3 linked regions of the Callithrix jacchus genome follow. The protein of the gene in region 1 interacts with the protein of each later gene in a pairwise test. Links are inferred from orthologs where the notes say so. Each region holds a gene or a part of one and is shown in the gene's direction. Other genes may lie near its edges. The genes, in order: BHLHE40, WHR1 and COX5B.

Evidence for each region.
Region 2: the proteins of BHLHE40 (region 1) and WHR1 interact in a two-hybrid assay, tested with the Homo sapiens proteins (2 studies listed by BioGRID). The two-hybrid records come from large-scale screens. The link is inferred for Callithrix jacchus from reciprocal best matches to the Homo sapiens genes BHLHE40 and WHR1.
Region 3: the proteins of BHLHE40 (region 1) and COX5B interact in binary tests that used the Homo sapiens proteins (3 or more experiments, as listed by UniProt). The two-hybrid records come from large-scale screens. The link is inferred for Callithrix jacchus from reciprocal best matches to the Homo sapiens genes BHLHE40 and COX5B.

The regions. Positions count from the first base shown.
Region 1 is NC_133516.1:62,118,188-62,123,864, forward strand, and holds the start of BHLHE40 (class E basic helix-loop-helix protein 40), read left to right. Parts: upstream 1-1,976; 5' UTR 1,977-2,255; coding exon 2,256-2,335; exon of another isoform or gene 2,336-2,502; coding exon 2,503-2,572; intron 2,573-2,687; exon of another isoform or gene 2,688-2,836; coding exon 2,837-2,944; intron 2,945-3,884; coding exon 3,885-4,008; intron 4,009-5,324; coding exon 5,325-5,677. UniProt on the Homo sapiens protein: Transcriptional repressor involved in the regulation of the circadian rhythm by negatively regulating the activity of the clock genes and clock-controlled genes.
Region 2 is NC_133505.1:39,489,246-39,494,922, forward strand, and holds the start of WHR1 (winged helix repair factor 1), read left to right. Parts: upstream 1-1,772; 5' UTR 1,773-1,944; coding exon 1,945-2,269; intron 2,270-2,400; coding exon 2,401-2,537; intron 2,538-5,677. Other genes in the region: DXO (decapping and exoribonuclease protein), read right to left, coding at 97-232, 360-579, 664-899, 1,067-1,428, 1,675-1,770. UniProt on the Homo sapiens protein: DNA-binding protein which is required for efficient transcription-coupled nucleotide excision repair (TC-NER). Acts as part of a TC-NER complex which assembles and interacts with RNA polymerase II (RNAPII) when it stalls at DNA lesions.
Region 3 is NC_133515.1:6,950,165-6,955,841, forward strand, and holds COX5B (cytochrome c oxidase subunit 5B, mitochondrial), read left to right. Parts: upstream 1-2,328; 5' UTR 2,329-2,347; coding exon 2,348-2,450; intron 2,451-3,606; coding exon 3,607-3,680; intron 3,681-3,851; coding exon 3,852-3,951; intron 3,952-5,125; coding exon 5,126-5,238; 3' UTR 5,239-5,321; downstream 5,322-5,677. UniProt on the Homo sapiens protein: Component of the cytochrome c oxidase, the last enzyme in the mitochondrial electron transport chain which drives oxidative phosphorylation.

The DNA.
Region 1 (5,677 bases):
CCAGTCTCAGCTGTGGCCCCATTTTTTTCAATCCTTCCCACAGCCAGGTCACTCAGCAGCGGGGTGACTGACCCGAAGCGCACTGGGAAAGGCTTACAGTCATCTCTCAACTCCCCGAACTTGCAGGGCAGGGGAGCACAGAGGTCAGTGAAATCCCCAGCCAGGCCTTATTTTAGTCATGAGTTTCCACTCGCTCCCTCCTCTGACTGTATCGGGGCTGCTCACGCCGAGGGATTGGAGTTTCAGCTGTTTTCCCTGCTCCCGGCTGAGTTAGAAGGTCACAGAGCCCGGACTTTTCCGGGGGAGGTGGGTGGGGCCCTCCGGCAGCCTAAGTGAGATGGCAAAGATCTGGGCCGCTGGAGGAGGTCTTTCCGCCCCGAGCTCGGGGCTTTAGGTTGGCTTCTCCACACTTCTCTACCCAGGCATCTTGGTTAGCATCAAATTAAAAACAAAACACAAAGCAGCACAAGTTGTTTGTTTTTTTTCCCCTCTGTCAGCCAGTGGCCTCGATACAATTTTCCCAGGACTGCCTTTGCTTCATTGCTCAATTTATCCTCTTCCTAGAGGATAAATTCAAGGGCAAGGTCCATGTAGGATTCACACATAAGCACAGCGCCTAGCACAGAGTAAGGGGCTCATTAAACATGTGTCGACTGCATGAATCCTAAGATTTCACCGTAACCAGTGTTTTTTTTTCTTGTCTCTCTCATCCCTCCTGCCCCGGGTGCTGACCGCAAACAGCGCCGCCGAAGTTCCTAACAGACAGGGAGAAGGCGGATCCCGGCTGGCGCACCACGTCCCCGGGGTCTCAGTCCCCGGGTCCACGCAGAGGGGCTCGCGGTCCGCCGTGCTGCGGCCTGAGCCCCGGCCACGTGAAGCGTCACGCCCTGCGCTGCTGCAGGGCAGGCGCCGCCGCCGCGGTTGTGTAACGCTGCAGCCGGAGGGGAGGCGACCCGGGCGCCTCTGCTCTGGAGGGGGCAGAGGAGGGAGGGAACGCCGGGCACCGCGCCCGGTATCTTTCTGTGCTTGACTGGCCTGGAGGAAGGGGGTGACATTGGGGCACCCAGGGGGCTGCGCAACCGGGTGCCCGCCTGCCCGCAGGCTGTGCCTGGGAGCGGAGCTACAGGGGAGCGAGGGGTCCTCGGCTCACACCCTTGGCGGTCAGGTGCGCGCGGCGTGCTCGGCGGCAGCCTCAGCTGCCCCTTCGCTTGGCTGCCGGCCCGCTTCCCATGGGGTGACATCCGCCCCGCCCCTCAGTCCCTCCCCAAGGCGGGCAATTCCTGGACACAAGGGTGAGCGGTGGGGGCAGGGAAGCCAGGACGGAAAGAAACCCCAGCCTCTGGGTAAGGCTGGGGGGCCGGGCGACTCCCTCCGCTGCGCGCCGCTTCCTCCAAGCGGGCCGGGCGGGGGAGGAGGAAGAGGGCTGGGCTGGAGCTAGCAAGGGGATATTCCTCTCCCGGCTTGAGTCAGACGCGGGCGGATCCGTCCTCCCCCGTTCCCTCCCAGGAGACGGGAACTTACTTCATTTCCCTGGGGCAGGTTCGCCCACGTTACCAACTCTCCCCCTCCCCCAATTCCCCGGTGCCTTCCAGCTTCCGCGCCCCCCACCCAGCTGGGCAGGACCCAGGTCGCGCTGCCACCTCCTCTTCGGGGAAAGACGGCCGCAGCCGCAGACACCTGGGGGCTGGGGCTGGGGGTGGGGGCTCCCTAGCAGCCGCCGGAGCGTTGTCCAACACGTGAGACTCATGTGATGAAGCCGGGGGAGGGCGGGCAGGTCGCTCCTTCCCTCCCCGGCAGTGGCCAGACGTGCCTGGAGTCACAGGGTAGAACACGTAGCTCCAACCCACCCACTCGCTCCCATTTAACCCAGCCCGCAGCCTCTCCATTACTCCTCGGCTTGTCCCCCCCAACCCCCCTACTCCGCCCTAACCTCCCCCCCCCCGGTCCCTCCCGCCTCCCCGCCCGCTCCACTTCTCATTCACTGGGCTCGCACGGCGCAGACCGCGCAGGGAGCACACACCGCCAGTCTGTGCGCTGAGTTGGAGCCAGAGGCCGCGGGGACACCGGGCTATGCACGCCCCCAACTGAAGCTCCATCTCAAAGCCGAAGATTCCAGCAGCCCAGGGGATTTCAAAGATCTCAGACTCAAAGGAACATCTGCGGAGACACCCCCGAAGCCCGCTCCAGGACAGTCCTCATCTGAGACGCTCCACTAGTGCAGACAAGAGCGCGCAGTGGCCCCGGCTCGTCGCGCAATGGAGCGGATCCCCAGCGCGCAACCACCCCCAGCCTGCCTGCCCAAAGCACCGGGACTGGAGCACGGAGACCTACCAGGGTAAGTTGGCACTCCTTGGTCCCTTCAAGCCTCAGCTCCAGCCCCATGTTATGAGCCACTCTCAACTTGGAGCAGCTCCGGGCACACCGCGGGGGGGTTCTTGCCCGGCCGGACACCTGCAGCCTTGCGCACGCAGTCACGACCCTTCCTGGTCTCTCTTCCTGCAGGATGGATTTTGCTCACATGTACCAAGTGTATAAGTCAAGGCGGGGAATAAAGCGGAGCGAGGACAGCAAGGTAAGGAAGTGCACCCCTGGGAACCCCGCTCTCAGCCCCTCGCGCGCGCTGAGTTTCCAAGAAAAGTTTTCTCGCTTTGAGACTGGCGAGGGGATGCAGGGTGTGGGCTCGGTACCTCTACTGAGTGACTTGGAAAAGAAAGGGCAGATGATGGTTCTGGGTGCTACTCTGCTCCTCTGACGGAGTCTTGCTGCGGGGCTGGGAGAAGGATAGCCTTCTTATCCCCTTCCCCAGGCGCCCACCGCCTCCCCGTGCGTCTTGCAGGAGACCTACAAATTGCCGCACCGGCTCATCGAGAAAAAGAGACGTGACCGGATTAACGAGTGCATCGCCCAGCTGAAGGATCTCCTACCCGAACATCTCAAACTTACAGTAAGTGAGAAGCTGGCCCGTTTCCAACCCAGCTCCTTTGCCCAGAGGGCGGGCGGGGGTCACTCGCCGCCTGCAGGTTCCGCAAGGAACTGCAGACCAGACGGGCGGATCGGAGCTAGCGGGTGGCTCTGTGGTAGGGTTCCCCCCTCCCCAGTCCTGGCGTTTTCTGGTAGATTCATGCAAATGAAGCGAGAACCTCTCGGACCTCTCCAAGTTGGCTCCAACACCAGCTGGCCTTCCTTTTCAAGAGTTTAACTTCTGGTGATTTTCAGGATTCTCTAGTTTTTCTCAGTTAAAAGACTACGCCAAGCAAAACGCACGTTTTATTTACCCCTTCCCCTCCACCACTCCCCCCCACTTTTTTTCTTGTTGTTAAATAAGGGGACTTGCTTTGGCGTGTCCTTTTTTACGGCTGTCCTTTCTTGACAGTAGCCCTCGGCTACTTGGCAGCCTTTGGTTGGGGAAATGGAAAAAAAAAATTGTATTTCGGGAGGAGCAAAAAAGCCTGGATGAGCTGGAAGTTCTGAAAGGGTGTAAGGAAAGAAGTAGGGGAAGCCTCTTGGCTGCCAGACATAATAGAGGTCTCTCTCTGAGTTGACACCACTGCGGGGAAATGTTATCTCTGGATTCCCCTGGGTTAAGGTCAGCAGAGGCTGCTGGAGAAATTTATCTGTCAAAGCATTTTCCTGAGGTAGTTGCAGCTACCAAAATGCCTCCAAAGATAGATGACACCGTTTTTTAAATTCTTTAATTAAAGAATTAAAGACTTGAGTGTGTTTATCTGTCTTTTTAAAAGCATGATCTACAAACTTAAAACAGCCAACTGGGAAAGACTATTCCACTTTTTTGTTTCTATTAGAGACATTTCTCATTGCTAATAAATGTCCCAAAGGTGGGACTTCTCTGACCTCACAGCTGACTAAGGCTCTTTTCCTTCCAGACTTTGGGTCACCTGGAAAAAGCAGTGGTTCTTGAACTTACCTTGAAGCATGTGAAAGCACTAACAAACCTAATTGATCAGCAGCAGCAGAAAATCATTGCCCTGCAGAGCGGCTTACAAGCTGGTGAGTGCTGATTCTGACTATCTTCTCTTTATGAGTTTGAGCACAAATAGAGAGCCCGTGGGCTCAACATCTGATGTAAGAAACATGACTGCAACAAATTGCTTATGCACGTTCATTGGGGGAGATGCAGTTTTATCTTTCCTAAAAGGTCAGACTTTTCATTTGAAATGCTGTGTGCCACGTGGCATGAATACATATTAGTAAAATGATAAGATATTCCTGTGGCATTTTGGCTTGAGAATCTCTTGGTTCTGGGAGATTTCCCTATTCCCTTTTAAAATGCCAAGGCACCTATAATTTGCATTGTGGGTGTTTTACAGTTGGTCTTCTTAGCCCTCTGTCATTGGAGAAGAGATCGTGGGTATGCCCCAGTGTTTTCCTGGGTCTTTGCTTCCTTGTTACTTGGTGTGTGGTGTGATGCTGGCAGGATACAGCAGGAGTTTTTCCTGCATTTCATGTGGTTCCCTGAATAGCCACTAGGTATCTTGGTGAATTGCACAATCTAGCGAAACCACTGAAGTTTCATCATTCGTTTCTACTGACTTCCAGAGAATCAGAGTCACCTTCTAACCTTCTAGTCTGACTCTTTTCAAATAATACTGTACAGACTGGGGGGAATTATTCTACCCACTCCCTCATTTCATTCTTTTCTCTCTTCTTCTCAAAGTCTCATATGAAAATTGCAAAATCCCAGCAAATGCTTCTGCCAGTTTCCTCATTAAAAATAGGAAGATGGTCATACCTAATGTCTTGAGGATCATGGATAGAATATATGGAAAAAAGATAGAAATAGAGAGCCTAATTAAAGATCACAGCATGACTGCAACTTTTACAAGTCATTAAAAATAAGTTTACTTTAGGTGATATTGTACCTTCATTCTTTTCCTCATTTTGTGACTGTCCGGCCTCTGCCCATTTTGCCATGGTGCAATGTTATATGCATTGACTCTTAGGTTTATATCAGAAGGTTCTCTGCTGCCTCACTTACATGGAAAACTCACAAACAACCTATACATTCCAAAACAGGGAAAACAGCCCATCTCTATTAATTACAGTCCATTTCCATGATGAAGTATTATGCAGCCACTAAAAAATCATATTTTATCTGAGTGTTAGCATATGGATTATTTTAATTCTTTATACTTTCCAGTGTAATTCTTCTCTGAGCATATTATTTTTGGAGTTAAGAACACAGGTCAGTAATGCAATTTTTTTTTTTTAATGAAAACGAAAGCCCCCTGGTGTTCGGGGCATAGGTATCCAGGTGTATCACAGGGCCTTCTGAAATGTCTTTCTTCGGATATGTGTTTCCCCAGGTGAGCTGTCAGGGAGAAATGTCGAAACAGGTCAAGAGATGTTCTGCTCAGGCTTCCAGACATGTGCCCGGGAGGTGCTTCAGTATCTGGCCAAGCATGAGAACACTCGGGACCTGAAGTCTTCTCAGCTTGTTACCCACCTCCACCGCGTGGTCTCAGAGCTGCTTCAGGGTGGTACCTCCAGGAAGCCATCAGACCCAGCTCCCAAAGTGATGGACTTCAAGGAGAAACCCAGCTCTCTGGCCAAAGGCTCGGAAGGTCCTGGGAAAAACTGTGTCCCAGTCATCCAGCGGACTTTTGCTCACTCAAGTGGGGAGCAGAGCGGCAGTGACACGGACACAGACAGTGGCTAT
Region 2 (5,677 bases), on another chromosome or scaffold:
GGTAGGAGGAGGGGAAGACAGGCTGCTGCCCTGGACATTAGACCTGTGGTCTTGGTGTTTGGGGATACGATGGGAGCTACAACACCATTCCCTTACCCTAACATATTCAAACATCTCCATGGTAGGAAAGGTCTTGAGAGAAGAGACAAAACCTTCTGGGTTACGGAAGCCAGCAACAACATTCGGGACCCCTGGGAGGAATGACTGAGCCCACCATTTCAGAAGCTTGTGTCTGTCAGGAAAAGCAAGGGGTCAGTGGCGCCCCTTGTCTACCATCCATTCTGCCTTCACCCTCCTCCCCAAGTCCCTTTCCCAGCCTTCAAGTCTAGGCTTTCGCCCTGCCGACCCCTATCCTGAACCTGTAGAAGCTCCTCCATTGGCCAGGGCTGTGCATCTCCTTGGAGGTCTTGAGTTCCACATAGCAGGTGGGGGGCTGTGTGGATGGGGCCTGGGGGTCTGTGCAGTCTACCTCCCCTGAGAAGAGCAGAGGGTGGCTTCCCAGGCGGCTGCGTAGCACAGAGCAGAAGGCCACGTTGGTGTTAACCTCCCCAGAGGGGTCTGGGGAGCTTCCAGGTTTGTCTGCGTAAGGAGAGAAGCAGCAGCAGGGTGGGGTCTCTCAATCTCTGGGAAGGGGAAAGGGGCTATGAAGCAGGGGCAACTCACCTGCACACATGTACTGCTCAAATTTGTATCCCATGTACATAAGCTCCCGGAGGAGCAGCGGGCGAGCAAGCCTCTGAGCCCGAGCGGCCGGTGTCTCCACCTCACTCAGGTATAGTGTTCCCTGGAACCGGGAGGCTGCCAGCTGCCAGCCCTCCTGCTGCTCATACGGTGTCGTCAGCAATTTTGTCAGGTGCCCCCGCCAAGTCACTATGGCCCCTGCCAGCCAGCCTGGACCCCTGAGAGAGAGTTACAGTCTGACGGTCTGACTCAAGCATTAGTGAGATGCTCCCTCCCAAGAATAGCCTGTTTTTTTCTAAGGAGTCATTCTCACCCCAGCTTTGGCTCCTAATTTTAGAGGGTAGGTGCATGTCTCCAGATCTACTGCCCGCTATGCTTTGCTCACCCCTCCAACTGGCCTCGGTGTTCCAGAAGCCAGCACAGCAGGTGGTCCAGCCTTTCTTGGACCTCCTCGTCCCGGGGCTGGTATCGATCCGGGTATCCGTCTCTGAGGTCAAAGTTGGGGCCTGGACCATTGGTGGGGGGTGGGCTGTAGTAGCGTAGGGCTCGGGCATCTCCATGGTACTGGCGTTGAGCATCCAGGGAGAAGCAGCCCAGTTCCGAAGGGCGCCGGTAGAAAGGAAAGGGCCCAGAGTAGAGGGCAGGGTCTGTTGGCAGAGAAGGTGCTGGACGGGGTAGTTTGTTCCGAGGCTCAGCTACCTCTGTCTTCCCAACTTCTCTCTTGGTCCCCCTGGGCTCCATGAAGTCCTACGGGAGGCAGGGGGAAAGAATTTCCATTTTACAGAGGAGGCCTGGAGAAGGGTGAATGTGGTTTAGGACTAAGCGAACCACCTGATCGCAAGGCTCCGGCCGTGAAACATGCAGGCCTCCCAGACGGCACCTAGGCCAAGCTCTCATCCTGCCTCTTTCCTTGTCCTTTACCCACCCTCCCTTCAGGTTCTCCTGCAGTGAGGTTAGGAAGGACGTCTGCGCTCAGATCAAGAATTTGGTTACCTCAATGCCCGCGCAACTTGCACCTCTGTAGAGCTCTGACGTCACAGAGGCCGAAGGATGCAAAAGTGGTTTTTCTGCTTTCGATGATGCAATCATTCAGCGACAGGCGGGTAAACCCTTGGCGGGGCGGGGGAGGTATGAGCTTCCCTCAAGAGGTTGATCCTAACGTGGTCACCGGCGCCCCTCCACGCCGCACACGAGTCCCAGGGAGTGCGTGCTCTTGGAGGGACCCAATCCGCTGTAGGCGTGGGGCCCGGCCCGGCGGAGGTGATGCTGGTATCTGCGTCGGCAAGGGCCCCTTCCAGCACGGGCCTGAGGGGTGACAAGTTGACGCCCCTTTCGTCATCACGTCTTGGTACATACGCTGTGTCACCTGGTCTACTGGAAGGGACGCCCGGGGAAGCCGTACGTCACTGCTCTGCGCCGGAAGACCCTATTATCCGGTTATCTTCCCTCTACCTCTACCTCTTCCCCGGTATCATAAAATCCCGGGATATGAGCCGGAAGAGGCATCGCCTGGTCTCGGAGACCAGTGGACTTAAGAGGCGGCAGAAACGAGGGCCTGTGGAATCGGATCCTCTGCGGGGAGAGCGAGGTAACCATGGCAACCCCGGGGCGGGGCTAAAGACCCCAGCTGGGCGGGGCCTCGCTTCCGGTGGCCGAGAGTTTTGTGAGAACAGCGTCCCTGCCCCAGTTCCCTGTCAGTGACCCGGTTTCTCTGCCCAGGGTCGGCGCGCGCGGCTGTCTCAGAGCTCATGCAGCTGTTCCCGCGAGGCCTGTTTGAGGACGCGCTGCCGCCCATCGTGCTGAGAAGCCAGGTGTACAGCCTAGTGCCTGACAGGACCGTGGCCGACCGGCAGCTGGTGAGGGGCATCGGTGCGACGGCCGGAGGCCCCTTTCCTAACTCCTAAATTTTCCTGTCACTCAATCACTCCGTCAGCCGTTCAGCAAGCTTTAGGCCTTTCAGGGGAGGGAACTGTGCCAGGCACTGGGGTGCCACAGAGAACGCTACAGACCCTGTTAAAAGGCCCGCAGAGAGTACAGGGCATTTCAAATCTGGGAGGTAGAAGAACGAGGGTTTTGGGGAAACCGAGTCATGGGGCATGGTTTCCCCTTAGGAGTGCAGTTCGACAGGCCTTGTACATCAGTGTGGTTTCCATCTTACACTGAGGCGATGAGCTTGTAGAGAATGTCATAGAGGAGAGGGAATGGTGTATTGGAGTTAGTGGATGAGGCAGAGGGGTCAGCTAAGAAGATACTGCATTTGAGAAGTGAAGGCCTAAACTAGGTCAGTGCAGCAGGGAGGGAGAGGAGAGTGAGGAAGAGGGAGGAGTCGAGGACAACTCAGACTTTCCAGATGACTGTGTGTCTGGTGATATTAGGAGCACATTTAGTTGTTGGAGTGCAGATGATGTGTTTAATTTTGTACAAGTTGAGTTGATGGTGCATGTGGAGCCTCCAAAGACAAAAATTATTAGGCAGTTAGATATGAGAGTTGGAGAGAATTCTGGGCCAGTGATGTAGAACAAGTCATGGAGGTGTGAATAGCAAGTGGTTAATTCTGTGTATGTGGGTGAGATTCAGTAGGAAGCGTGGGTAGAGGAGTGATTTCTAACCTTTATATAAGCGTTAAAAGGTGATAAAAGCTGTGGCTATCTCTTCAGAAAAATGCATGCATGTCACATATACACAGAGTATATGTACAGTTAAGGGAGATATATTTCACTAATCCTCCAAGGTCTGTGGTTAAGGACTCCAGATTTAGAGTGGAAGATAATAGGGTCAAATCCATAATCCTCGGAAACACTATCATTTAAGGCAGTGTTACTGAATGTATGACCTCAGTTATTGCCTGTGTTAAAATTACATGGGTTGCTTATTAAAAGCATATAGGTTCCTGGGACTCATCCAAGGTTAATGAATTACGATCTCTTGGTAGATTTGGGAATCTACATTTTTGAACTGTCTCAAGGACTTTTTAAGTGTGCCTTAAAATTTGAGATCCACTGATGAAAAGGGAAAGCAGAAGAAGAGGAATATATGACAGAGGCAGAGAAAATTGCCTAAGTTAAGAGGAACCCAGAGGCTGGCACAGTGGCTCACACCTGTAATCCCAGCACTTTGGGATGCCTAGGTGAATCTTTTGAGTTCATGAATTCAAGACCAGCATGGGCAACATGACAAAACCCCATCTCTACAAAAAATACAAAAATTAGCCAGGCATGGTGTTACATGCCTGTAGAACTACTGGGGAGCCTGAGGTGGGAGTACTGCTTGAGCTGGGGAGGCGGATGTTGTAGTGAGCTGAGATAGTACCACTGCACCCCAGCCCGGGTGACAGAGCTAGACCTTGTCTCAAAAAAAAAAAAAAAAAAGTAACCCAGGAAGAGGACTATTGTGAAAGTAAAGAAAATTTTGAGAAAGTGAAGTAGTTGGCAGTATTACAACCTGTGATTCAAGCCAGTGCCCCATGTCTAAGAAGAGGGAAGAGGTAAAGTAAAACGTAAACTGAAATCTAAGCTGAGTGTGGTGGCTCATACCTGTAATCCCATCACTTTGGGAGGCTGAGGCAGGAGGATAGCTTGAAACCAAAAGTTTGAGACCAGCCTGAGCAACAAAGTGAGACCCCCCCATCTCTATTAAATAAATAAAATAAAACACAAAAATTCTTAGCTGAGCATGGTAGTGTGCACCTGTAATTCTAGCTATTTGGGAAGTTGAGGCAGAAGGATTGCTTGAGCCCAGGAGTTTGAGGCTGCAGTGAGCTATGATGCATGACTGCACTCCAGCCTGGGTGACAGAGTAAGACCCTGTCTCTAAAAAAATGAAAATGAGGCTGGGCATGATGGCTCATGCCTGTAATCCCAGCACTTTGGGAGGCCAAGGTAGGCAGATCACTTGAGGTCAGGAGTTTGAGACTAGCCTGACCAACATGGAGAAACCATGTTGTAATTTGTACTAAAAATACAAATTAGCTGGGTGTGGTGGTGCATACCTGTAATCACAGCTACTCAGGAGGCTGAGGCAGGAGAATCCCTTGAACTAGGAAGGTGGAGGTTGCGGTGAGCTGAGATCACACCATTGCAATCCAGCCTGGGCAACAAGAGCAAAACTCCATCTCAAAAAAAAAAAAAAAAAAAAAAAAAAAGATAAAAAAACAAGAATAAAAGAAAAAAGAAAGAAAGAAAAGAAAAAGAAAAAAAAATGAAAACAACAACAAAAAAACCCCGAACTGAAATCTGCATTTAGCAGGTAGAAGTTTAATAGTGATCTGTCAAGAAAAGAGGGAAGAAAAGGAAGAGAGAGCTAGGCTTCCTCACTAAGGCTCGTTTTAGGAAGCATGCTAGATGGAACCACTCCTTAAAGAGTATTTGTTTTTAATATATTGGTGTTAGCTTTTATTTTTAAAAACCTTTGAAAATTGCAGAATGAAAATACAAACATACGTAATTTAAATAATGTTTATAAAGCAGATACCCATCTAGCCACTGCCTAGGTCAAATTATAGAACATGGCCAGTATCACATGTATATTCTCTGATCAAAACATCTCTGATCAGAATGTTCCTGGGAGATGACTGCTATGGTAATTGTTCCCTTAGTTCTCATTCTCTTTTGTTTTTTGAGATGGATTCTCGCCCTGTCACCCAGGCTGGAGTCCAGTGGTGTGATCTCAGCTCACTTCAATCTCCCCCTTCCGGGTTCAAGTGATTCTTCTGTCTCAGCCTCCCAAGAAGCTGGGACTACAAATGCATACCTGGCTAATTTTTGTATTTTTAGTAGAGGTGGGGTTTCATCATTGCTGGCCAGGCTCATCTTGAACTCCTGGCCATCTTGGCCTCCCAAAGTGGTGGGATTACAGGCATGAGCCACAGTGCCCAGCCCCCTTGGTTTTCTTTATACCACTTATGTGTGTAAACAACATGGCTTAATTTTACCCATTTTTAAACTTCACATAAATGAAATCATACTGTATGTCTTACACTCCATTCATGCTGCTATAA
Region 3 (5,677 bases), on another chromosome or scaffold:
TAGGGTTAAATCCTACAATGCACAACCTCCCTGTAAATAATTATCAACCCAAGATGTCAGTTGTGCTGAGCTTGAGAAAACCTGGTATAGGGAACGAAAAAAAGGATAAGCATCAAACTGCTAGCTTTTTCCTTACATATCTGTCCTGTTTGACCTACCGTGTATATTTATTTTGACAACTAAAAATTAGCCTATAAAAGAATACTCAGTAAGTTTATTGTGCTGGCAAAGACAATGATGGAGCGGAGGTGGCAGACCGGTCCCCAAGCCAAACTGTTTCTCAAGGAGACCTGAGGGACAGGGTGTGAATGGAGAGTAGTGGGAACTGGAAGCAGCAGGGGATGCTTCCAGCATGTGGGGACATCTGGGGAGCCTGGCCCTGACCTTGGAGTTCACTCACACAATCTAAATAATCCCAGAGTGAGGCTGAGGTTTTCCTGAGTTAGATAAAGGCCTGCAAAAATTTCCTACTATTAGGCAAACCTACAATGAGAGTGAGAAACAAGCCTAAAGTCAGTTTCCATCTTACAGCCTGGAGTAAAACATTCCTGGTCAGGCAGCTGGGAATCATAACACATCAGAGCTGAATATCTCACTGGTTTGCTGAGGGGCAAGTTAGTAGGTGTTCCTCAGGAAAGGGTTTTGTGGTCAATTAAGATAGGGAAACTTTGGCTTAAACTGCAGGAAAATTAAACAAAAGGTCTTGCTGCAAGCCTAATCAGAGCCTTGATTATGTTCGTGCAGCTCCAAAAGAGTGATCATGAAACGCAGGACTTCCCTGTCTTGACCAAGCCCTTTTTCTTAAGATCATATCTTGAGACTTGGATGACATGGAATACACTTGGGAAATACTAACCTAGTTGAACGAGTTTTACTGATGAAGAAATGGTGGCCCAAAGGAGAAAAAGCGACTGGCTGAACTAGCTGGTGAGGCTACTTTCCAGACCAATGCTTTTTCTCCTGCCAAACACCTAAACACAGTTGCAAATTAACTATAGGTCCTTGGGGAACATTGCTCAGAATTTTTTCCCTCAATTCAATTTGGAGGCGTTGCAGTGGAGGTGAAAGAGAAGGGAGTAACAGTGAAGCCATTCAAAGCAAAAACCACCTTTAAAGGAAATCTTGGCCTTTAAAGGTGGTTTTTGTATCAGAATACAGGTGTTTGTTTTTTTTTTAATTGGTGGAGGGGGCACCCATGAAGACCAGACGTGCTCCTGGGAGGCAATGCTCCACCGTGTCCTTTTGAAAATATCATAGCCTGCATGAGACAAGTGGGAGCATCTGAGCCTTCAACTCTACCCAGTTTGCTTCCAATTGACCTCACTGGGCCAGGAGAAGCCCTATAAACTGGTTTTATATAGTCTATCCAAGTAGTAAATTTACTAAAATTACTGGATCCTACTATATACCAGACCTCTGCAAGGCATTGAAAATTCAGTAATGAGCTAATTCCACTCTAAAGCGATTTTTCTATCTGGTAGGGAAACTCAGATACCGCATGCAGCTAGCCTGTCATAGGGCTACACAGACTAAAGCTCACCCTAAGAAATTTGCACATCTTAGCCTGTGGGGGCAACGGAAAGCTATGGACGGAAGATGTTTTCCGTTTCAAACGGAATTCCAGTCACAGCAGGATCTGACTCCATTTCCCATTATCAACTCCCCTTTTTAACTTCTCCTCCCCTAGTGGCCTCGAAGAGTGGCCACTTTCTCTCTTCACATCAGCAGGCTCTTGGTCCTGGGCGGGGTCCTGCCGCCGTCCTGTCCTCCTCCCTAGGCCGGGACCCCGCAGGGACCCCGGCGCCTAACCCCCCACAGTACAACTCTAACAGGAAACTGGGCCAGTACTGCAGGTAGGTCCCGTCCAATGCAACACGCTCGCGACGGCTCACGCACTGCCAGAGAACCAGCGTTGCCACTAACTAGCCTAGCAAGGAACGCAGAGATCTTTAGGAGCCCACTTTCAAATTCAAATCATTTGGGGTCCAGTCAGTCTCTTGACAGGCGGGGACTTAATGACTTCCATCAGTAGCCTCCAAGTGCAGGCCAGATACAGAGGAACTCCAATGTGGTTTAGCCGCTGAGCTCCAAACACCAAAACAACTTGCTCACCTCTCAGCCTTACTAAAGAGCAAACCCGCCCCCAAGCCTCAGCTACTGTGCGGTGCAGGGAAAGGCACACTTGAGCATGCGCAGTTTCCGCCCCCGCCAAGGTGGCGGGAGTGGGCGGGCCCGAGGGCGGGGAAGGAGCGGAAAGCTGACCGGGAGGAGAAAGAAGCCCGCCCCCGGAAGTCTCTCCTGTCTTTGCATCCTGTTCCCGGAAGTGCTGTTGCTTGTCGCGGACGCGATGGCTTCAAGGTTACTTCGCGGAGCCGGAGCGCTGGCCGCGCAGGCCTTGAGGGCTCGCGGTCCCAATGGTGCGGCCGCGGTGCGCTCCATGGCCTCTGGAGGTACTCGGCTCCCCAGGCTTGCCAGGGACCGGAGTATTGCCCTCCCGTAGTGGTCCCAGGGCGGCAGAGCGGGGCGTGACGTGCAGCTACTAGAGGTCCCAGTGACCGCATACGGTCCGGAGTGTCTCAGGCTCTGCAGGCATCTTCCTATAATTCCAGGCCGCTGCTCCTGCCGCCCCCCCGAACTGACTCCTCTGCGAAAGTATCCTAAACGGAGGTGCCGGGTGACCTTGGGAGGGGTGGGGACTGCGACCGGGTTGGGGAGGGGTCCGGCCGCCCTTCAAACCTGCGCCCGCCTCAAGCCGAGTGGGCTCTAACTTGCTTTTAGACAAATGTCGACAAATTGGTCTCGGTGGTTGGAGAAGGAAAAGCTCCTACGCCGGGCGCTCACGACTGTAATCCCAGCACCTTGGGAGGCCGAGGTGGGCGGATCACCTGAGATCAGGAGTTCGAGACAAGCCTGGCCAACACGGTGAAACCCCGTCTCTATTAAAAATACAAAAATTGGGCTGGGCGTGGTGGCTCACGCCTGTAATCCCGGCACGTTGGGAGGCCGAGGCGGGCGGATCATCATCTGCGGTTGGGAGATCGAGGCCAGCCAGGCCAGGACGATAGGAAACCCCGTTTCTATCAAAATTACGAAAATTAGCCAGGCGTGGTGGAGGGCACCTGTAATCCCAGGTACTGGAGAGGCTGAGGCAGGATAATTGCTTGAACCCGGGAGGCGGAGGTTGCAGTGAGCCGAGATCATAGCACTGCACCCCAGCCTGGGCAACAAGAATGAAACTCCTTAAAAAAAAAAAAAAATTAGCTGGTCGTGGTGGCGTGCTCCTGTAATCCCGGCTACACAGGAGGCGGGAGAATCGCTTAAACCCAGGAGGCAGAGGTTCCAGTGAGCCGACAACTTGCCATTACACTCCAGCCTGGGCAACGAGGAAAAAAAAAAAAAAGCAGCAGCTCCCCCAAGTGCTGCCCCTTGTGTGGATCATGATTTGGTGGTTCTTTGGGGACCATGGATATGAGTAGCTTTTAGGAGCTTGTGAGCCCACTAAAACGTATGCAGAAGTTTCAGTGTGGCATTTTTCTTCTTGATCATTTCTGTTCCTAATTTTTCTATCATTTCAGTCAGCATCATAATTCACATATCTTCCTGTAGGTGGTGTTCCTAGTGATGATGACCAGGCGACTGGGTTGGAGAGGGAGATCATGTTGGCTGCAAGAAAGGGACTGGTGAGAAACTCCTTTCTGTGTCTTCCGTGGAACTTACGTTCTTGTATGTGTTCATAGTAGTCTCCTCTCTGGGAGTATTTGATCCAGGGAACTTGGCTTATAGGAACACGCTGAGCTTCTGGAACGTAGGGCTTATTTGGCATAATGGTTCAATTCTTGTGTTTTTTTCAGGACCCATACAATATACTGCCCCCAAAGGGAGCTTCAGGCACTAAGGAAGACCCTAATTTAGTTCCTTCTGTCACCAACAAGAGAATAGTGGGCTGTATCTGTAAGTACCTCACCTCTATTTCTTTATCCACTTAATATATATCCTATAGTACAGGAGTCTATAAGCTGCTTTAAATCTTTTTTTTTTTTTTGAGACGGAGTTTCGCTGTTGTTACCCAGGCTGGAGTGCAATGGCGCGATCTCGGCTCACCACAACCTCCGCCTCCTGGGTTCAGGCAATTCTCCTGCCTCAGCCTCTGAGTAGCTGGGATTACAGGCACGCACCACCATGCCCAGCTAATTTTTTGTATTTTTAGTAGAGATGGGGTTTCACCATGTTGACCAGGATGGTCTCGATTTCTTGACCTCGTGATCCACCCGCCTCGGCCTCCCAAAGTGCTGGGATTACAGGTGTGAGCCACCGGGCCTGGCCAAGCTGCTTTAAATCTTATAGTGTGTGAATACATGTTTGTAAATGAGTTTCCCTATGGGTCTTGTTCAAGCCTCATTATGCCTGATAGTTCATCCTTCCTGGAAAGAAGCGCAGCACGGTGGAAAGACTGGCTCAGTGGAGGTGTGGCATGAAGGAGTATCCACCCAGCAAATATTTATTGTTATATTGCTTCTATGCCAGGCATCGTTTTAGACAGTAGGGATACATACCAGAATGGACCTCCTTTGTGTTCTACATGGGCAGGGGAATTGTTAGAATTTACAGTGAGCCTTGGCTGGGTGCTGTGGCTCACACCTGTAGTACCAGCACTTTGGGAGGGTGAGGCGAGCAGATCACGAGGTCAGGAGATCCAGACCGTCCTGGATAACATGGTGAAACCCTGTCTCTACCAAAAATACAAAAAATTAGCTGGGCATGGTGGTGCACACCTGTAATCCCAGCTACTTGGGAGGCTGAGGTAGGAGAATCGCTTGAACCTGGGAGGTGGAGGTTGCAGTGAGCAGAGATGGCACCACTGCACTCTAGCCTGGGTGACGGGGCGAGATGAAAAAAAACAAAAGAATTTACAGTGACCCTGATATTAGGTCATTTTACTTATAGGTGGACTCAGAGCCTCAATTTCTTCATCTGAATAATGGGAGGAGGGCTTGAACTGACCATTATTGGTCACTATCTTGACCATAGTCTGTCTTGTGTATCAGAGGTGTCTGAGGAAAAGAAATTCATGTTGAAAGTCTCCCTTTCTAGACAGAATGACTCAACCACCTTTTTTCCCTTTTAGGTGAAGAGGACAACAGTACTGTCATCTGGTTTTGGTTGCACAAAGGCGAGGCCCAGCGATGCCCCAGCTGTGGAGCCTATTACAAGCTGGTGCCCCACCAGCTGGCACACTGAGCGCCTGCACTGAGTTACTCAAAATATGCTATAAAACTTCTTTCCAATAAAGACTAGCCATTGCATTGGCTTCTTCTCCCATAGATGGCTGGTCTTACCTCTTTCCTGTATTTTTTGGTAGGCATAGAATATTCTTATTTTCGAAATAGCTATCTGTTAATGCTAACTTGCCATCCACTTACTGAAAGTGGATGACCAGTGTATAGTGCTTAGATTAATAATAAGAATGGATTGACAACCCATAATGCAATGAATGGAACCACCTGGTATGAGGTAAAGGGGCGGGCTGTGGAGGCAGGCTGACCAGACTTACAATATTGGCTCCATCATTTGGCTCTATCCATGTGGACATGTTCTCTGGGGGTCAGGTACAACTACAAAAAAGGTAAATGCCTTGTGAGGTGCTTAATATGTAAAGAGCTGAGCAGATGGTAGGTCT